Linked DNA regions of Xenopus tropicalis. The protein of the gene in region 2 purifies or fractionates together with the protein of the main gene of each other region. This does not show direct contact. Links are inferred from orthologs where the notes say so. Each region holds a gene or a part of one and is shown on either strand. Other genes may lie near its edges.

The links.
Region 1: the proteins of map3k8 (region 2) and rela purify together in Homo sapiens (affinity purification with mass spectrometry; 5 studies listed by BioGRID and IntAct, with this or other methods). This does not show direct contact. The link is inferred for Xenopus tropicalis from reciprocal best matches to the Homo sapiens genes MAP3K8 and RELA.
Region 3: the proteins of map3k8 (region 2) and tnip2 purify together in Homo sapiens (affinity purification with mass spectrometry; 3 studies listed by BioGRID and IntAct, with this or other methods). This does not show direct contact. The link is inferred for Xenopus tropicalis from reciprocal best matches to the Homo sapiens genes MAP3K8 and TNIP2.

The regions. Positions count from the first base shown.
Region 1 is NC_030680.2:38,455,512-38,463,297, reverse strand, and holds the start of rela (transcription factor p65), read right to left. Parts: upstream 5,248-7,786; 5' UTR 5,077-5,247; coding exon 5,070-5,076; intron 1-5,069. UniProt on the Homo sapiens protein: NF-kappa-B is a pleiotropic transcription factor present in almost all cell types and is the endpoint of a series of signal transduction events that are initiated by a vast array of stimuli related to many biological processes such as inflammation, immunity, differentiation, cell growth, tumorigenesis and apoptosis.
Region 2 is NC_030682.2:23,821,654-23,829,173, reverse strand, and holds the start of map3k8 (mitogen-activated protein kinase kinase kinase 8), read right to left. Parts: upstream 4,387-7,520; 5' UTR 4,045-4,386; coding exon 4,029-4,044; intron 1-4,028.
Region 3 is NC_030677.2:21,862,633-21,870,100, forward strand, and holds the start of tnip2 (TNFAIP3-interacting protein 2), read right to left. Parts: upstream 4,534-7,468; 5' UTR 4,155-4,533; coding exon 3,786-4,154; intron 1-3,785. UniProt on the Homo sapiens protein: Inhibits NF-kappa-B activation by blocking the interaction of RIPK1 with its downstream effector NEMO/IKBKG.

The DNA.
Region 1 (7,786 bases), on a different chromosome or scaffold from region 2:
TTGGCTACACAAGGCATATAAACGCAGGCAAAGAAACAGCTGATCTGCTCTTAATAATTCATTGCGGTGTTTGAGTACAGCACCATCCCTGTAAACCATTGCTGGCACAGGATCAATGAACCCAGGCAGAAAAATATTTTTGGATGCTGTACTTTGTTTTTCACAGGCAACAAAGGGCTCCCTCTGTCATTACCCTTAATGGAACACCTGTCAGCATTTTGTGGGGCTAGACCCATAAAAGGGGTGTCTGGATACTTTGGGCCAGTCTACAAGTCTAAACAATTTGGTATGCCAACTGCTGTTCAAACTTTAGAGGTACTCTAGAGCAATTTTAGACCTGATGGTGTACAGCAGTGATCCCCAACCAGTAGCTCATGAGCAACATGCCAACCTCTTGAATGCTGCTCCCAGTGGCCTCAAACCAGGTGCCTATTTTTACATTTCTGGTTAGGAGGCAAGTGCTGATTGCATAAAAACCCAATGTACTTCCAAACAGAGCCTTTTTGGGGGGCTGCCAGTCCACATAGGAGAAAGAAAGGCTAATAAAGAGTTAATCTCAAGCTGCAGGCATACCTTCAGTGACCTTAAGTCTCCCCATATTTCTCCCATTCAGATGATCAGAAGCCTCACAGGAAAAAAAAAAAACACTGAGCTCTGTAAAGAAAGTTCCCATAATGCCTCACTCCTGCACCAAGACCGGTGTACATGGCAGTTTGTAAAACTATGAGGACGCTTCCTGCCGATTGGCTCAGATCCACATTCCTAAGGCGGGGGAGTGAGTTCTTAGCATTCTTGAGGGAGGGGGAGCAGGAGAGGGGAAAGAGGAGAGAGCTGTGTGTCTCTGGCACAGGAAAACGGACACAACAAATCTTTTGATAGAGAACTCAGTGCAGTGTTTCTGTGAGTGCTTATGGCTGTATTTACATAGACCTTTCTGATAAAGCTTACTTAGTTTTTACCTTTTCTTCTCCTTTAATGCTTGTGTTGCTCCCCAACACTTTTTTCATTTGAATGTGGCTCATGGGTATAAAAGGTTGGGGATCCCTGGTGTACAGAAAGGATAAACAATTGCATGCCTGTATTTGCTCTATGCCAATAATAACACTTTGATTCGCTATACTAGTACTTATCCCAAGCATGTTTTGAATCATGTCCAAAAACAAAGATGCTACGCACTGTTCAAACTGATGGGGAACAGTGGAAGCCAAAACAGACCCTTTGTTCCCTTTTACTGATCCTTATGTTATACAATGACAACTGGCCTAGTTGATGCAAAGAAAGCTGTGACAGACCCTCATGTAAAGACTGCCCAAATAAGAATTCTGGTGCTGAGGTGTGCCCATCACTGCCCCATGAGTTCAAACAGGGTGCTTGTCATTATGTAACATTAAAGAAACTCCAAAGGATGTTTCCTTGGTGCTTCATATATTGTGGCAAGACATCCAAGGCAACTGAAAGAATGCATTATGACACACAGAGCCATCTATACAAAAACCGTTCCAAGCAAAGAACACAAGAACAGGTTATGTGAGGTTAAGGCTCATGGCCAACCATTCTTTTTCTCCGTCAGCCTGAAGTTTATGTTTTTTTGTTTTTGACAACTAAAAGCCTGTATTCACTTGAAAAGGCATAAACATTTTTGCATGGTCCCCTCTGTGTGAAAAAGTGACTCATCTACTACTGATTCACAATCTAGTGGTAGCACTAGCTAGACACACCTACAGATAAGGATAAGGTCAAAACAGCTGATGCTGCAGTTGTTAGCAAATAAAAACCTTTGTGGGGGCCTCTTTGTAATTATTAGCCTGTGAGGTACCGGGAGACAATGTAGGCACCACTAACTTATAGAATGTTTCATTTTCTACGGGATATGATCACTACACACACCTTTGCTGAGCAATTTAAGGTCCAATATCCCATTATTGGATATTACTCTAGCAGTGATACATTTTCTTTTTTAACAATGTCCACAAACCATTACCAACTATTATTCTGCTGTCAGCCTGCATATAAGCAAGCTTTAATATTTTCAGAAGTGTAAACCCCTAAGATAAATATTTGTACAGAGAAGTTTTCAACGGGTTTTCAAAATTACAATAGTATTCTATGTTGTATACCCCAAATAATAGTTATTGCAGTTGAGTTTAGACGCAGCATCTTTTTGTGTTTAATGTTTATAGGACAGTAGAAAATGCTAATCTGGCAATAATGTAAATAGCCAGTGGGAAAACAAAACTCTGGACTACTTCAGAACCAAAGCAATATATATACATGTTTTTCCAACCAGCGATTTACATTTCTGCTGGTGGGAAAGCCTTTTCAAGAGATTAGTTGCCCACTGGAGACCAGATTTTAAACAGGTGGCTAATCTTCACATGTGCCATCACCCTTAAAAAACTGAATATTTTTTTTGCCTTGAGTATTTTTGTTTTGTGGTGTATTGTCCAACATAGGTCAATCCTTAGGCGATACAGTTCTCAAAAATTCCGAAGATACACTTTCTGTCATTCTGACCAAAATGGCAACAATCTGCACTTTTTTCAACAATGAAACCTTGTAGTAGAACTGCAGCTGTAGTCAGACTAGTCAAATCAGAATTAAACTAGACAGAGTTATAGCTGGAAAAAGTAAATCACTTTTTTCCAAAACTAATTGGAGTCAACTCAGTGCAAAGTTACTTTAATTGTAATTACTACTGAAAGAAATGTTTGTTTAGCCTTTTATTCTCTGGTTCTGATTCTTGACACAATGAAGCAGAAGTCCAGAGCAGTCAAGTCCCCTGGATTAATCGCGAGTGTCCCGAAAATGCAGCCTAGCCCCCAGTCTCAAGATGGCCTTTAATACCTCCCAAAATGCACAGGCACATTGAGCATTCCATGATGTCACATGAATTTTGCGCATGTGCAATCAGTGAGGGACTGGGACCCCAGGGGCCCACCAGGAAACCTTAAATCATAGGCCCACTCTCCAAACTATTTTTCCCCCCTTTGCTCAATCAACCTCATTATTCTCCTAGTCTCTTTTATTAACATGCTAGCATCTATTTCTCCATCTATTTCTCCCCTTTGTTCCCATTCAAAAATAGGGAATGGCCACAAAGTAGACCAAATGGCCAGGAGCAGGAGGGCCCACTGACACCTGGGCCCACCGGGAGTTTCCCTGGAATCCTGGTGGGCCAGTCTGACACTGTGCGGGATGATGTCAAACACCACCTGCCTATAGGACATCGGCAGCGCGTTCTGTGCACCACAATGATCCCCTGGGAGACACTCTCCTGGAGTTGACAGCCCTGGAAGTTAGTTCCCCTCCGTGTCTGTTAATCAGCAGGCTTTTGCTACACTGTCTCATAAGTTGACTCCAGTAGTGCAGAGAATATAAACAGATAATACTTCAAATAGCAATAAAATAACTTTAAAACAATTGCCAGTTTTTATGTAAGGTATACTAAAAGGTTGTTTAGAATTAAATTCTGTTACATTGTTAAAAAAAATGTTTTGGGTGGAGCTGCTTTCTGAAGTGTGTGTTTGAATATAATAATGGATATATGTTCCCTTTTTAAAGAAGAACTACAGCTTAACTAAAGTAGTAGGCTAAAACATTTGTACATTATATTTGGGGCTTCTGTACCAGCCCAAGGCAACCACAGCCCTTTAGCAAGGAAAATCTGTGCCCCCCAAAAATGTCCCCATTAGCCCCCATCTTATTTTCTGCTGATTCGCTGCCCATGCTCTGTGCTGCTGTCACTTACCTGAGCTTAGGGACTGACTCACAATATACTGTATATATTGAATATAAATGTCCCAATACTAGGCTGATTGGAAATATTTCTGATAATGTGTGCTTATCAGCTCTGCAGCCAGTGCAATTAGCATCATAAATGAATAATTAGCCCTGCAGCATAAGCTTATAGTTCAGCTCAACCTAATTTTCTGCTTAATAATTTGCTACGTCCCCTAAGCCTGAGCATGTGAGTGTCACAGACACTTCTAACAGATTCCAGGAACGTTCAATAAGTTCACTATATAAAATATGGCATTTCTAATCAAATTCATTTTTAGGATTTAGTTCCCCCTAAACCAGTAGGTATGGGACCTGTTATCCAGAATGCTCAAGAGTTTTCCAGATAAGTGGTCTTTCTATAATTCGGATCACCATACTTTAAGGTGCCATGTAGTGATCTTTTGCTTCTTCTTTACACCACTGCCCCTGACCAGTGCAGGCGAGTGAAAAAGTTGACTTTTTGCTTAAAGTTCAACTTATCACTCTACTGTGCATGTACACCTGTCAATAGGAAGGAAGAAGCAATAAAGACTGTGAGAAAACACTCATACAGAAGTACCCAAGGCCGGTGCAGTTTTCTGCTAACAGGAGCACCAGCAGGTTATCAGGTGAGAAATTATAATCACTGAGGGGTGCCTAAAACATGACAGCACTATGCTCAGTTTATAAGGATATTATTTACAGGATATTCATGGCTCGTGTATTATATCCATATGGTGGTCAGTGATGTCATCAGTTATAATCAATGCTTAGTGATGTCATTTGTATTACATGATTCACTGAAACTTGTATATTGTAAGTATGAATTCTATGGAACTCAGGGACTTAAAACAGCCTTATATTTTACAACAGGTTGCACATTATTCAAAATATAAAGGCAATATGTGATGTTATTGGTTATAATCAGTGCATGGAAATTTCAGATATAAGACTGAGAGCTTTAACAAAGCATTTAAGCAATAAATGTTTTCTGAAACTTAGCCTAGAATCTGTAGGCTGCTGTAGGGACACAGGCTGTACATTAGCGATCCCGGTGCTGTGAGTCTAGCGGAACCCATTCCCAATCCATGAACAAAGTAACCCAAAATCTTTAAGCACTGGCCCCCCCGTATCGTCACACACGTCCGTACTGAGATTGATTAAATAAGGAAACATGAGCCAGCCTCCCGCGCGTTTATGACTATTGGGCGATCAGAGCCGCGTACAAACGCACGGCAGCTAAACGCCACTAGGCCGGTCGGTACTAATACGAAAACGGGGGAAATTCGCGATTCCGGAATAATTCTTACCCTCCATGTCCAATGCTGGCCTTTTACAGGGGCTAGCTGCCCTTGCAGTTCCAGAAATGTATAAGATATATTCGCCACCAGTACTCTTTACTTCTCCACTCCACTGTTTCACTATCCCTCTTCTTCTTCCTTCCCTAACAGATATCCGCCCCTTCTACACATTGCTACACATTGCTAGACAATCCCTGGCATAGTCTGCGGAAATACCCAAATGACGTAAGGCGAGGAACGCCCTGGCAAATGCGCATGCGCTAAGTTCACAGGTTTAGGCTTTGCCCTAGAGTTTTGTCCAATAAGTGAGACCTGTAGAAGTTATTACCGTACAGACGCATATACGTAGCAATAAAAGGGTGGAGTCAATGGAAGAAGGGGGCGGGCGACTTAAGGGACGAGTGAAAAGTACATTGCTTTTCATGACGCGCAAACAAAAAGTTTGTTTTGTTGTTGTAGTCGGGAAAAAAAGTTTGTCAGGTTGATGGCATCGTGTTGGGAGCCATTTTATACACATGGTTATTAGGAGACATAAAGCTATCAAATCTCTAATTAGGAGTCTAATTCGCCTCAATTTCTATCTTCTACCCAATTTCCTGACTGTTGTCGGAAATGTCCATTGTGCGGTTGTTGCATTGTAGCCTCCACTGACCCGGGTGTGGGGGCAACAAAAGGGACGTTCTGCGATTATTACTCTTTAGTATTCTCTCAAAAGTGAGGAGAGCAGTCTGGCTCCATGGAACGCATGCCTTAGGTTTCGGGCATTATTCCTTAGTGGGTTTAGGGGCTCGGCCAATGTAAGAGCCTTAGCGCTACACTGCGAACTCCCATTGGTTCTGCTTTCAGCTGCGTAGTTTGTACTTGGCTAATGTAGCGCTGCTGCTTTAGCGCTACGATGCGTATGTGCGCTGTAGCCCATGAGTGACTAAATGTGCCGGGCAGCAAACATGTGGCCTCTGTACATCTATAGAGGGACAGGGTGCACACATGTTTAACTCATATACATATTCTCTTACTCACTGGGCATTTCCTCTGAATAATGTATGAAATACAGGCCTGTATAATATAATATATGGCACCCCTTGTACTACAATTATTTTATTGGTAAAATAACAAATATATAGAGATTTACTCTTTTATTGCGCTGTGTTTTGCGCCTTATGTAAGGTGGCCGGTTAGCTCAGTTGGTTAGAGCGTGGTGCTAATAACGCCAAGGTCGCGGGTTCGATCCCCGTACGGGCCACACACCTTTTCCTAGTATTTAAAACAAACTTTAAACTGCTTTAGTTGCTGTGTAGCATTAAATATATAAATGAAAAGTAATGTGATTTTTTTTTTCCGGGGGGGGGGGGGGGGGGGGGTATATATAAATAATTAATATAAATGTACACTGGCCAGGGGTATGGTTCCTGCCATCCGGAATCTTCCAACACACCAGAGATCCGCTAACATGCACAGTAGAGCAAGTTTTATGGCTTTAAGGGTGAAGATACAAGGGGCAATTAGTAGTCGTGGTGACTAATCCGTGCAGCGAAAATGCTTTAGTGTCTTAATTAAAAGTTGTAGCGACTTATCGCCCCGTGTATCTTCACCCTAAGTCCCAATGTTTTCTCTACTGTAAGTTTTCTTTGGTCGGTGGGTCCCTCCTCGAAAAAGTTAAGGTGGCCACACACGTGGCGATTTGTGATCTTTCGTGCGACCATCGGTCGCACGAAAGATCGTTAAATCCGCCACTAACGTTCAGGGCTGAAACGGCAGATAAGGAGGTAGAAACAATAGGATTTCTACCTCCTGCCGATTCAGCCCTGACGGCAGATTTTGCTCAGGCGCCCGATCAAAATCTTTTAACCTGGCCGATCGGCGAGTCGACCGATATCAGCAGCTTCCTGCGATATCGGTCGACTCGCCGACTTGCCATACACGCACCGAATATCATATGAAACTATGTTTCGTACAATATTATCGGTGCGTGTATGGCCATCTTGAGCCACCTGCCAATGTATGCACTCAAATTGATACAGTAATCTTAGTGCCAGAGATATCCTAAAGCAGAGCTGTCCAACTGGCGTCCCGCAGCCCCCTCTGTGTGGCCCCCCACCTGTCTGGCTGCTTACCTTTGTGTAAGCTTTAAATGGTATCGGTACTGAGATTAACTGCCCCTCACACCTGAGATTCAGGCTGTAAACCCCTGTATTGTTTAAACATGTAATCCCCTGTACTGTTCACACATTAAAATCCCTGCATTGTTCATCTCCTGCATTGTTCACACCTCAGGGCCAGACTGTAAGCCCCCACATTGTTCACCTGTTCACACCTCAGACTGTAGGAGCAGTGCCAGCATTGTGTCACTGTATGTACAGTACCTAGCATAGGGCAGACAGAGTATGGCACACACAGGCAGGGTAGTGTAAGGCAGGCAGAGTATGGTACACACAGACAATACTCTGCCTGTGCATAATTTAGAATCTTCTTATCAGTTTCAAATGATACAGATGTAAAATCTAGTGCAATTGAAGGTTCCTCCATTTGTCTCTATGAGCTACCAATCATCTCATACAGGAACAATAACAACAAAATATTTAGAGGTATTGTATGTATTTCATTATAAAGTAGTGCTATTTAGTACTGGTGTGTTTACTTCAGAAGTTACAAAATTAAGGCACTGTGTTGCCATTGGGGCAACCATTCAAGTTCAATAAGGCTAAGGGGGACATTTATTAATGCAT
Region 2 (7,520 bases):
ACTAAAGAAGTAGGGTAGAAATGTTGTACATTATTTTTTGTGATTCCGTACCAGCCCAAGGCAACCACAGCCCTTTAGCAGGGAAGATCTGTGCCCCCAAAGATGCCCCCAGTAGCCCCCCATCTTCTTTTCTGCTGATTCCCTGCTCTGTGCTGCTGGCACTTACCTGAGCTTAGGGACCCGCTCACAATATGTATGTATGTATGTATGTATATCTTTATTTATAAAGCGCTACTTATGTACGCAGCGCTGTACAGTAGAATACATTAATACAAACGGTGTTAATAAGATAATAGATAAATACAAAGTATAATAATAAATACAGATATATACAGCAGCAATAAGTTAAGAGTCAAGGACACAAGAGGAAGGAGGTCCCTGCCCCGTAGAGCTTACAATCTATATGGGAGGGGTAACTAACAGACACAAATAGGCAAATATAAGTGCTGTAGGTCACAGTGGGTGACATTACAATATAAGTGCCAGTTCCCAGATCAGGTGATGGGCGAGTGCTCCAAAAGGTAGTCTTTAACCTTAGTTTTAAAAAGACTGGGGGAGGATTCTCTCCGGAGGAAATCGGGGAGGGCATTCCAAATGTAGGGGGCAGCCAGGCAGAAAGGTTTAAGGCGGGAAACCGCAGTAGTAGTGGGGGGCGCAACCAAACGATTGCTCTGCGAGGAACGAAGGAGTCGGCCGGGATATATACAATATACTGTATATATAGAATATAAATGTCACTATATATGTCTGATTAGTAATAAATACAGATAATTAGCTTTATAATTTAATAATCAGCCCTGTAGCATCAGCTTATATGACAGGCCAACCTCATTCTCTGCTTCATAATTTGCATCTACCCCTAAAGGTGGCCATACACAGGCCAAATTGGCCAGATATCGATCTGGCAAGTTAAAAGATGTAGTCAGATCGGTGACCCCATCGGCTCATTGATGAGGTCCCGGAATCGACTGCCCCATTGCCGCTATTGGGGCCAAACGATCAAATTAACCTACATGTTCCCTGATATTGCCCACCCGTAGGTGGGGATACCGGGTGAAGATCCTCTCGCTTGGCGAACTCGACAAGCAAGCGGATCTTCACGTGTATGGCCACCTTAAGCTTAGCTTCTCAACAACTGGCCAGAGCCCACTGAGCATGTGAGTATAGCAAATACTTTCCAAGTGACAAGTTTGAAGTCCTGCATTATTGCTGCGACTGAGATTTTCAAGGTTTAGTTCTCCTTTAAAGTTTAAGTTTTTCACTCTACTGCACATGCGTGCCTGGTGAGAAGATTCCGAAGAAGGTCCCTGAGTGGTATTCCCACAGAAGTACCCCAGCTCAGTGCAGTTTTCTGCTAACAGGAGCACTGAGGTATCAGGTAAGTGATTAATGACTGGGGGTGGCTAATATTTGGCACCCCTAATTTCAACTTTCTTTCTCCTTTAAATAAAGGCCTCACTTGGGCCTGTCACCACCTCTACTGTGTGTATTGGTACACCCCTAAATGTACAAACAATAAGCTCACATGATACGTTTGAATGGAAGGTCTTATGATCCAGAAGTGATAGCTTCATGGCTTCCACATGGCAATACTTACTGCAGCTGAGCCATAACAATCTCAAGCACGCACACACAGTATGCACTGTTTCTAATACAAACAGCCACTTATCATATATAAACACAGACAAACTGTATTGACCAATGCAACAAGGGATTGCCCGATGGACTGAACTCATGCTTTATCAGACCAAAAGACATGTGACAGACCAGGGGCTTAACCACTGAGGAAATCACTATAAATATCTCAGCACTTGCATTATAGTGAAACGAAAATATGCAAGTTATTTACTTTCCATCCAGCCCTACAAGGATCGGCGCAGACAAAGAACTGCACCAGGGAAGCAGAAAACAAGGACTTTCCCAGTTTCCAACACTCATACTTCCAAAGAAAATAACAAAGATTAAAGGGGAGGGGAAAATCCAAAAATAAACTAGAAAATGTAATACTTTCCAATACACATTCATTACATATTTTCAATAGTTTTAATGTTATATACATTTTATTGAAACTGTATGTCTGGCCATCTTCTGCCACATTGTTCCTAAAGTCAGAACCAGTAGACTTGCAATTGCAATTTGTTTATTTACAGTGCAGTAGGGCAGATTGTTAGCCTGGGTATAAACTGGCAGGCTGACAGTCATGGGGCCTTAACCTTGTACCCCGCAGTATATAACCTGTTACTCTCATTTGTTTGAGTATTTTGCACTTTAATGCCTTTGAGCCACCTTCTGAGCACGGGCCACCTACTGAGCAGCAAAAGAGCAATGTTTGGGCAAGCAAGATACAAGGAATGTGCATCTATAAATGGCGTCACGTAACCTCTGAGCCTAGAACAGGTGGATAAACAGGCACCATCCTAGAATAAAAGTGCACATGGTCCAAGAGAAGTGGTTTTCAGCATTATTCAGTTCAAACCCCTCGTTAGAGTGCATCATCAATCCAGGGCACCCTTAGCTCATTACAAGGCCACAGACATATGAAAAGATTGCTAAATCAGCCATAAATTCTAGAATATCTAACATAGCAAATAAGCACACACTAAAACTCACCCTAACTGTCCTTCACCCTGGGTCCCCGGGCAAGACCCTGAGCCACCTGGGGGGGGCAGCCCACAGTTTGGGAACCACTAAAGGTTAGGTGTATGAGGCTGCAGAAATAACATATTTCACACTGTCCAAAAATGGTACCAACCCAACTTGCATTACTTCTGACATTGCTAGGTAACTCAGTGTATTGTGGTGGGGCACATATTAATGCACATACAGAGCTCAGCTTAGGACTGAGGGTATGCATGGGATCTTTGGTTTACACCAGGTATAATATACAATAGAATACAATTATGGGATCCCTTATCCGGAAACCCGTTATCCAGAAAGCTCCGAATTACAGAAAGCCTGTCTCCCATGGACTCCATTTTAATTAAATATTTCAGAATTTTATAACTGATTTCTTTTTTCTCTGTATTAATAAAACAGTACCTTGTAATTGATCCCAACTAAGATATAAATAATCCTTATTGGATACAAAACAATCCAATTGGGTTTAATTAATGTTTTGTTGATTTTTTCCAAATTTTCCAAATTACGGAAAGGCCCCTTATCCGGAATACCCTTGGTCCCGAGCATTCTGGATAACGGGTCCTATACCTGTACAAGCTCTTATCCTCATCCCCCTCCCACTGAATGCACAGGGGGTTTATGTGTGGGTTCAAACTGCAACCATCAGTACAATATACAGGATCAAGCAGGTCTGAAGCCAGACCCAGCAGCTATTAGAAGGACACGGATATAAAGATGGTCTCTTACGATTCCTAACTGTTATAGCACCCCACGTAGCTACTCAGCGTTCCTTCTGCATTGATAGAGCAGAGCTACATAAAGGAGCTACATTAATCACTTTAGAAAGTACCATTTACTAATCCAACAGCCTGTTGGGTGGAGAAAGGTTGGAACAAAAACAGAACTGTTCCAGCAGCTCCAGTGCACATGACTGATTCCACTGGTCAGAGACTGCAGAGAGCTGGGTGCCTACACTGATAGATTTGTCTTTTGTTAAATGTTTTTTGTTAACACCATACAACAGACTCTGTAAAGGCAGGACTGGGGGGCCTGGAACCCCACCATTCCCCCTTGCACCCCTGCCACCCTGTGTTGCCTAATGCAAGTGAGTGCAGGGGGTGAGGGAGCAGCTGGGGGTGCAGCTCATTACAGGCAGTGAGGGCCCCCCAAAATACTACCCCACTGGCCTCCACTTTGACAGAAAATATATGTGCCCCCCTGTACAGTAGCCATTTCATCCAGCCTGGCCATAGTGGGCATAAGGGCAACTCAGTATCTAAAGCTTCAGAACATATATATTAGCTTGGCACCCAGTGAGAAGAACGTTACCATGGAAACTGGTGTCTCTGTGAGTTGTGTAGGAGTCCTCCCTGCCATCCCCACAGTGCCAGCCGCAGCCCCATTCCTACCTTTGTGCCCGGGCATGGCTGTCCCGGCTCCGCCGCTGCCTCACACGGCTCCCATGTTCCGACTGTGCCGCTTGCTGAACTGAGGGCTGGAAAGTCCAAAACGGGGAGGTTCCATGAGCGGCGGCACGGCTCTTCCTGGAAATGATGAGAAACAACAAGAAAAGCAGGAGATTCTATTAACCCCGCCAGTGCCAGGGAGAGGAGCAGTGTGGCAGCTCTCAGTGTAACTCTCGCTGTGTCCCCCAGGGAGGAAATCCCCACACCCCCGCTGCTCATTTGCTTATCCCCGGGGGAGACTCTCTGTGCCGCTTATCTGCCTGCTGCACTCACACAGAAACTCCCAGCAGCCTCAGCGACTCCCAGTGAGCAGCTTCCATCCCAGGGGGGATTCACTGATACCAAGTGACACATACAAATAGCCTGGTGTTGCACTATAATTCTTAGCCCTGGATATGGTGGGCTACAGAGAGAGTAGTACAGGTATAGGACCCATTATCCAGAATGCTCCGGACCAAGGGTATTCCAGATAAGGGATCTTTAAAATCAGTAAAACATTAATTAAACCCAATAGGGCTGTTCTGCCCCCAATAAGGGGTAAGTATATCTTAGTTGGGATCAAGTACAGGTACTGTTTTATTATTACAGAGAAAAGGGAATCATTTAACCATTAAATAAACCCAATAGGACTGTTCTGCCCCAATAAGGGGTAATTATATCTTAGTTGGGATCAAGTACAGGTACTGTTTTATTACTACAGAGAAAAGGGAATCATTTAACCATGAAATAAACCCAATAGGACTGTTCTGCCCCAATAAGGGGTAATTATATCTTAGTTGGGATCAAGTACAGGTTCTGTTTTATTATTACAGAGAAAAGGGAATCATTTAACCATTAAATAAACCCAATAGGGCTGTTCTGCCTTCAATAAGGGGTAATTATATCTTAGTTGGGATCAAGTACAGGTACTGTTTTATTATTACAGAGAAAAGGGAATCATTTAACCATTAAATAAACTCAATAGGGCTGTTCTGCCCCCAATAAGGGGTAATTATATCTTAGTTGGGATCAAGTACAGGTACTGTTTTATTATTACAGAGAAAAGGGAATCATTTAACCATTAAATAAACCCAATAGGGCTGTTCTGCCCCAATAAGGGGTAATTATATCTTAGTTGGGATCAAGTACAGGTACTGTTTTATTATTACAGAGAAAAGGGAATCATTTAACCATTAAATAAACCCAATAGGACTGTTCTGCCCCAATAAGGGGTAATTATATCTTAGTTGGGATCAAGTACAGGTACTGTTTTATTACTACAGAGAAAAGGGAATCATTTAACCATGAAATAAACCCAATAGGACTGTTCTACCCCAATAAGGGGTAATTATATCTTAGTTGGGATCAAGTACAGGTTCTGTTTTATTATTACAGAGAAAAGGGAATCATTTAACCATTAAATAAACCCAATAGGGCTGTTCTGCCTTCAATAAGGGGTAATTATATCTTAGTTGGGATCAAGTACAGGTACTGTTTTATTATTACAGAGAAAAGGGAATCATTTAACCATTAAATAAACCCAATAGGGCTGTTCTGCCCCCAATAAGGGGTAATTATATCTTAGTTGGGATCAATTACAAGGAGAGAAAGGAAATCAGTTTTAAAATTTTGAATTATTTGATTAAAATGGAGTCTATGAGAGACGGGCTTTCCTCAATTCAGAGTTTATGGATAACGGGTTTCCGGATAAGGGATCCCATACCTGTACTGGCGTTAGAGTATTACGTATATGGGTCAGCACTGGCACCGAAAGATAAGGCAAGCGTTGCTGCAGAACCTCTTGGGCACCAAATCATCAGGGAATGAGGACTGGCTAAAGGTGGCCACACACGTGGCGATTTTAGATCTTTCGGTCGACCACCAGTCGCACGAAAGATCGTACAATGCGCCACTAACCGTTCAGGGCTGAAACGGCAGATAAGGTGGTAGAAACAATAGGATTTCTACCTCCTTCTGCCGATTCAGCCCCGAAGACAGATTTTGGACCATTTTGGCAGGGCCCCCAAAACAAGGTGTCGCCAGCTTGCACAGGGTTCCAGGATTGGGTGGGCAAATGTGACTGATGATGTAACTCTACATTTTCACCTATGTTTCTCTTGTTCCATTGGCCCCCCAACATTTCATGGCACAATGTGGCCCCCAAGCATTGGGCACTGACACACCAAGCACACTATATACAGTGTGAGACAGCGATTATTGACCCCTCAGGCACACTATACGCAGTGACAGACAGTGCGTACCCTGGGGTAGCAGCATGAATGCAGTGCCAACTTTGTGTTTAATGTCCCAGAACACATAGCAGCATTATAAGGCAATCATTGTTAAGCTATATGTGCTTATTTCCCTGGTGTGGGTCCCCATGGATGCGTGACCTTATTGAGCCCAATAGGTCCAACTGGCCTAAGGCCTTCCCTGATTCTACCCCTATCTGATGATTCAGCTCTAAACGTTTGCCAGTGCAAAGGCCAGTCGACGAGACGGGCGTTATCCAAGCCCTTTGCCAGTATCAGTTGCCTCATCTCTTGCCATACAAGTACCAATTATTGGTTCATACAATAATATCAGTGAGTGTATGGCCACCTTTAGGGTAACTTTTGTCTTAGGGAACATATTGTTGTGGCTGTCTGTGAATAATTTGAAAAACAGTGTACAAAGTAAGTGACCCAGCTATCTACTGCCTGAGGCTGATATTAAAAATAAAAAATCAATTAATCAGTCAACATATGAAATCTGCACCTGACACGCACAGCTACATGCCTATGCTGTGAGTAGGGCAACTGTTTGCCCAACGTGTAGTATCTGAGTATGTTGTGTAAGTTCTGAATTTGCTTCTGGCTGCAGTCCAGTTGCCATCTTTCCAGTCAATAATAAGGAAACCTATTTATTATGCATTCAAGGTGTGGCCGGGCCATTTCTTTGGAATGCACTGCACCCTAAAGGTGCTAATGAACCCTTGTGCCCATAGCCTAACACTTGTTGTTTTGCTAAATTCTTATCCATCTTTTAGTAGAGACAAAGAACAGGAGCTAAAGAGTTATGTTTAATTTAGAGCCAGGCTTTGGTGCACCAAGCACTCGCCCTGTGCCTCCCCCTACTGTCAGGGTGCTTTGCAGATATACAGTACCTATAGATTAGCAGTGTTCACTTGCTGCCTTTAGGCTGAGCCCTCAGTTACTTTGTGCTGCAGACAGGACTTGCGTATCACAACATTTTCTGCTACCCCTTGTCCCCAAAGTTTCCTGCAGAAACCGGAGTGATGCGAAGGTCTTTCCACCGGCGACTTTTATTGTTGCTGATGGAAAGCCTTTTTGGAGCAGCTACTCATCCTAAATAGCAGAGATCTATCATGGGCAAGTTCTTACCCTTATGTTTGGAGACAAGAAGGAATTACCGTAAGCCATGTGCAGCCAGTAATAATTCAGTAAATAAATCCCT
Region 3 (7,468 bases), on a different chromosome or scaffold from region 2:
CCCAATCAACTAGGAAAAACCACTGAAATGGAACAATAGTAGGTAAAAGCTCAAACATAAACATAACAAGCTTTGGTTAAATAAAAACAAGATTTACTACCAAATAAAGCCCCTGTAAGCTGATAGTGTGCATAGAGGCTTCCTAATAGCCAATCACAGCCCTTATTTGGCACCTCCATGAACTTTTATGGTGCTTGTGTTGCTCCCCAAGTCTTTTTACATTCGACTGTGGCTCACGAGTAAGAAAGGTTGGGGATCCCTGCCCAAAGGCTATCATCCCACTAGGTACCATCTCTCCCTACTATACCTGCTATCCCACAGCCCCAGTCCCTTCCCAGAGGCTATTATCCCCCCACTGCTACTATAGGCACCATCTCTCCCTACTATACCTGCTATCCCACAGCCCCAGTCCCTTCCCAGAGGCTATTATCCCTCCACTGCTACTATAGGCACCATCTCTCCCTACTATACCTGCTATCCCACAGCCCCAGTCCCTTCCCAGAGGCTATTATCCCCCCACTGCTACTATAGGCACCATCTCTCCCTACTATACCTGCTATCCCACAGCCCCAGTCCCTTCCCAGAGGCTATTATCCCCCCACTGCTACTATAGGCACCATCTCTCCCTACTATACCTGCTATCCCACAGCCCCAGTCCCTTCCCAGAGGCTATTATCCCCCCACTGCTACTATAGGCACCATCTCTCCCTACTATACCTGCTATCCCACAGCCCCAGTCCCTTCCCAGAGGCTACTATCTCCCCACTGCTACTATAGGCACCATCTCTCCCTACTATACCTGCTATCCCACAGCCCCAGTCCCTTCCCAGAGGCTATTATCCCCCCACTGCTACTATAGGCACCTCTCTCCCTACTATACCTGCTATCCCACAGCCCCAGTCCCTTCCCAGAGGCTATTATCCCCCCACTGCTACTATAGGCACCATCTCTCCCTACTATACCTGCTATCCCACAGCCCCAGTCCCTTCCCAGAGGCTATTATCCCCCCACTGCTACTATAGGCACCATCTCTCCCTACTATACCTGCTATCCCACAGCCCCAGTCCCTTCCCAGAGGCTATTATCCCCCCACTGCTACTATAGGCACCATCTCTCCCTACTATACCTGCTATCCCACAGCCCCAGTCCCTTCCCAGAGGCTATTATCCCCCCACTGCTACTATAGGCACCATCTCTCCCTACTATACCTGCTATCCCACAGCCCCAGTCCCTTCCCAGAGGCTATTATCCCCCCACTGCTACTATAGGCACCATCTCTCCCTACTATACCTGCTATCCCACGGCCCCAGTCCTTTCCCAGAGGCTATTATCCCCCCACTGCTACTATAGGCACCATCTCTCCCTACTATACCTGCTATCCCACGGCCCCAGTCCTTTCCCAGAGGCTATTATCCCCCCACTGCTACTATAGGCACCTCTCTCCCTACTATACCTGCTATCCCACGGCCCCAGTCCTTTCCCAGAGGCTATTATCCCCCCACTGCTACTATAGGCACCATCTCTCCCTACTATACCTGCTATCCCACGGCCCCAGTCCTTTCCCAGAGGCTATTATCCCCCCACTGCTACTATAGGCACCATCTCTCCCTACTATACCTGCTATCCCACGGCCCCAGTCCTTTCCCAGAGGCTATTATCCCCCCACTGCCACTATAGGCACCATCTCTCCCTACTATACCTGCTATCCCACAGCCCCAGTCCCTTCCCAGAGGCTATTATCCCACTGCTACTATAGACACCATCTCTCCCTACTATACCTGCTATCCCACAGCCACAGTCCCTTCCCAGAGGCTATTATCCAACTGCTACTGAAGGTGCTGTGCTGCCTGTACAGTTCATATGTTGATATGTGTTTTGCTACTGAGCTTCCCACTCTCTTCTACTTACAACTGCTGTTTTGGTTGGAAAATGCTTGTATGACAAACTGGAATAACATTGTATAACTGCCAAAAAAATTCCTGTCAGCTGTGTCTATCACGAGTTACGATGAGTAGGTTTCCCTTATATCACTCATGTGCCCTCTAAATACTAAATACTTCAGCTGTGAGTCACATGAGCCCAAAATAAATCAAATGAATGGATATATAAATAGAAAATAGGGGTGCCCTGAATGGTACAGTAAATATATAAGAATGACAATATAGAACTAAAAATATGACTATTATTTGAGGAGACAGTAAGTACTGAGAGACTACACTACGGGATAGAGAGGCTGAGACTCCTGGGAAAGCACGTACGGGTTTAATTACAGTGATTTACATTAATGATCTATATAAGAGCTACTCAAACAGAAAGTAAAAATGAAAGATACAAATATTCCCAAACTGCTTCTAAGAAATCAACTGATCTTCTGGAAGCCACAATTCCCTGGGACAATATGTCTTAGGGTGAAGACACACAGAGCTAATTAGTAGCAGATACTTGTCATTGCAATTAAACACCAGAAAATCCCCTGCCATAGACAATACTGAGAATTGCCTCTGCTAAAACACATATAGAGACAATTATTGGTAAATGATCAGCATTGTCTAATTTTGTAGCCATGACAAGTAGCTGCTACTAGTAGCTCCGTGTGTCTTCACCCTCAGAGTTCAGAACTGAAAACTGCTACACGCATATAAGGCTGACATATTATAATGTACGTATGCTGCATAGTCACATAGTTCATCCTGCTGAGCACAGCCAGGGGATGGGATAGGAGATTATAGTATATTAACAACACGTAATACCTACACCATCTAGCCCTGTCACTTACATCTGAGGGGCACAATGCTGCTGGGAATACCCAGCCTATCACATTCCCTTTAAACCAAAGCCAGGCTTATTGTCTGGGTAAAATATCCTCAAAATTCTGCATGGCTGAAGCAAGGTTAAAAAAGACAGCAGGTAACAACACTGTAAACGAAGGGGTCCAACCAGCAGTTCTCCAATACGAACCCCAAGCACCCCTGAGCCCTGGTGGGCACTGTGGTTCTGCAGCTGGACAAGCCCATAGCGGGCACTGTGGTTCTGCAGCTGGACAAGCCCATGGTAAGCACTGTGGTTCTGCAGCTGGACATGTCCATAGCGGGAACTGTGGTTCTGCAGCTGGACAAGCCCATAGTGGGCACTGTGGTTCTGCAGCTGGACAAGCCCATAGTGGGCACTGTGGTTCTGCAGCTGGACAAGCCCATAGTGGGCACTGTGGTTCTGCAGCTGGACAAGCCCATAGTGGGCACTGTGGTTCTGCAGCTGGACAAACCCATAGCGGGCACTGTGGTTCTGCAGGCTGGACAAGCCCATAGTGGGCACTGTGGTTCTGCAGCTGGACAAGCCCATAGTGGGCACTGTGGTTCTGCAGCTGGACAAGCCCATAGTGGGCACTGTGGTTCTGCAGCTGGACAAGCCCATAGCGGGCACTGTGGTTCTGCAGCTGGACAAGCCCATGGTAAGCACTGTGGTTCTGCAGCTGGACATGTCCATAGCGGGAACTGTGGTTCTGCAGGCTGGACAAGCCCATAGCGGGCACTGTGGTTCTGCAGCTGGACATGTCCATAGCGGGCACTGTGGTTCTGCAGGCTGGACAAGCCCATAGCGGGCACTGTGGTTCTGCAGGCTGGACATGCCCATAGCGGGCACTGTGGTTCTGCAGGCTGGACATGCCCATAGCGGGCACTGTGGTTCTGCAGCTGGACATGCCCATAGCGGGCACTGTGGTTCTGCAGGCTGGACATGCCCATAGTGGGCACTACAGGTCCCAGTAGATGCACAGAGGGCATAGCTACCTGGCTCAAGGATTCCACCTTCTCCTCACATGTCCTCTCCGTCTCCTTCAGTCTGCTCTTCATTAAAGCCAACTGGTCCATCAAGCTCTCCACTAAGGACCTGGAGGAGGAGACGTGCGGCGGAGGCTCGGTGCCCAGGGCAGCCTGGCTGGCCATCAGCTTCTGGATGAGACTTTCCTTGGCAGTGAGTTTCTGTTTGAGGCTGCTCACCTCCTGTTTGGCTTCATGATAGAAAGAGTTGAGGACATGGTAGCTCTGCACCTTTTTCTTCAGTGTCCTGTTTTCCCTGTGCAGTTTATCCACGGTTTCTTCCAGCACCTTGAACCTGGCCACCAGCGCATCTGTGCTGCCATCACTGATAGAGGACATTGTACCAAGGGGCAATCAGCACTCTCAGGCGCAAGCAATCCGGGCTGGGGCGCTAATCAGAGCACAGCTGGCTGCGCAGTCAGTACATAGCAGTCCGTGTGAGTGAGGCAGGCAGGCTGCATGGCGCTATTATACACCGGAAGGCGGGGCTTGGAAATTCCCTCTCACCAGCGGAGTTTTCTAGTACTTTTACTACTAGTAGGGCTCCGGGTCTCACACAGAGAAATACCCTCCGCTCTCCCCAAGGGCAGCCCGGCTCTTCCCTGCATGCCGGGAGTGGCTCCCAAGCTGCCCGGGGAATCTGACTGCGACCCTGCTCGGAACATCCAGCCGCTTCCCTCTGCCAGTGGCCTCCATTGCTTCACTCAGCGGAGGGACTGCCTTGCGCCTGCGCACTCCGGCATCTGTATTAGTGTTGCTATTTACAGATAGAGAGCAGGGGATAGGGTAGAGAGAAGGGCACACTGATAAGTAAGGAATTTGGAAGTACATAGACAGAGCCATACATAGCTAAATATGGAAGGGGGTAGATAGGTATATAATGGGAATTATAGACTAGTAGATAGATATGCCAGTGGGTACATAGATGACAGACAGGCCAATAGATAGATATGCCAGTGGGTAGATAGTTGGCAGAGAGGCCAATAGATATGCCAGTGGATAGATAGTTGGCAGAGAGGCCAATAGATAGATATGCCAGTGGATAGATAGTTGGCAGATAGGCCAATAGATAGATATACCAGTGGATAGATAGTTGGCAGATAGGCCAATAGATAGATGACAGATAGGCCAATAGATAGATATACCAGTGGATAGATAGTTGGCAGATAGGCCAATAGATAGATATGCCCGTGGGTAGATAGATGACAGACAGGCCAATAGATAGATATGCCAGTGGATAGATAGTTGGCAGAGAGGCCAATAGATAGATATGCCAGTGGATAGATAGTTGGCAGAGAGGCCAATAGATAGATATGCCAGTGGATAGATAGTTGGCAGATAGGCCAATAGATAGATATACCAGTGGATATATAGTTGGCAGATAGGCCAATAGATAGATGACAGATAGGCCAATAGATAGATATACCAGTGGATAGATAGTTGGCAGATAGGCCAATAGATAGATATGCCCGTGGGTAGATAGATGACAGACAGGCCAATAGATAGATATGCCAGTGGGTAGATAGATGACAGACAGGCCAATAGATAGATATGCCAGTGGATAGATAGTTGGCAGATAGGCCAATAGATAGATATTCCAGTGGGTAGATAGTTGGCAGACAGGCCAATAGATAGATATGCCAGTGGATAGATAGTTGGCAGATAGGCCAATAGATAGATATGCCAGTGGATAGATAGATGACAGACAGGCCAATAGATAGGTATGCCAGTGAATAGATAGATGATGGATAGACAGGCCAATAGATAATCATCAGAGGGGCCAGGTGTGCACCTAGCTGGTCCTCCCTCCACCCAACGGCCTGTGTCCCCCGCTCCCCTGCCACTTGTGCTAAGTAGGTAAGAGAGTGGCTGGGGAGGGGGGCTTCTTAGACCTATAGATATATAGATAGAGGAAGCAGACCCTGCGGTCTAGGCCCCCTTCCCACGGAGCATTTAAATATGGCATAGATATTTAGACACGTGACAGTTAATTAGCTTTGGATTAAATGGGTCCCATTGTGCTTGCTGTGTGAATGTGAAATTAGACCATAAATTCTACTGGGGCAGGGGCTGATATAATGAACCAGCTCTAGGTGATTAGTTGGCACCATATAAAAATAAAACATAGAATAGTTATCCTTTATATAGTGCCATCATGCAGCACTTTACAGAGATTAGGCATCATTCACATCAATCCCTGCCCCGGTGGAGCTTGCAGTCTAAGATTAATATCACATTCACAATACATTCAGAAAATCAAATTCAGGACTGCAGCCCCCCAAGCATTAGGTAATAGATAGAGGGAATGCATAGATTGTACCAAGATTTAATCTGAGACATAGATTTGACCAAACCCTTGGATTCTTTCAACTAAAGACAATTAATTTTTTTTTATAGGTCTTTGTTGATTGCTGGGTGCATTTGTCAGACTGCCCACAAGATGTCAGCACTGAGCCTCAGTTCTTTTTTACCCTGATTTCCCTACATGGCACTAAAACTTCCAAAATGCTGACATCAGTTGTGACACAAGCAGCCTGGAAGAGTACAGAGCCGAGCGGAAACAGAACACCCACAGGCACAGAGATCTGCTAGACTTTAATCCGGACCTCTATAAAGAGATGAGGCAATAATATGATGTCTGTGCCAGTGCAGAAGAGTCCCATTACCATAGGTGCCCTGTGGAATTCCCTGGGGAGGGGTGTCTGACTTCTTTAGCTGTATGCTGGGAACTCGTTGACATTAATGCGTGTAAGGAAGGAAAATTAGAATCATTTGTATGGGTTATAGTCAGAAAGGGGCAACGGTTCTAATAACTCATTCAAACCAATTAGATAATTCTTTCAAACAGGCGACAAATGAATGCTACCTGCTGATTGGTTGATACTGGATACTAGTCTGGTGGGAAACTATGCAGGTTTAATAGACTTATTTGAGGGTCGCGCACACAATGTCCACATAAATTACAGAATATATAACATTATGTGTATAACATACGTATGGACACAGACAAACACAACAATCTCCAACCTCTTCAGAAATTCAAGGTGTACAGTCACACCAACGCCCCCCCCCAAACTCCATTCGGTTACATGGTAGCTCCCCCACACCCCACATTTTTTTTCTTGTTTGGTAAATAAATCAGTAAAATACCTAGAAAACTATTTTAGTAGTTGCAATTCTTGTGAGATAGGAATGAGGCAAATCTATAACAGACACACATAGCACTCAAACCCAGGAAATGCTACCTGCTAATTGGGTGCTATGGGTTACTGCACATGAGCAATGTATATGGGCATTATTAAAAATCTATAACAGACACACATAGCACTCAAACCCCCATATGTAATAAAATGCACTAAGTTTGCCCAGGAGCAGTAACCTAGAGCCACCAATAAGATATTTGCTTTTAAACAGGTGACCAGGAAATGCTACCTGCTAATTGGGTGCTATGGGTTACTGCACATGAGCAATGTATATGGGCATTATTATGCAATTATACATGTCTGAAGAACCAATATGAACAGGGTCGGACAGGGGGGTGCAGGGCCCACCGGGGCTTCTGGCTCGGGGGCCCCTGCACCCCTCCAATGGCCCTCGCCGCAGCCTTTCACTCCCCGCAGGCCCACTAATCCAACCCCCTCCCCTGAGCCCCT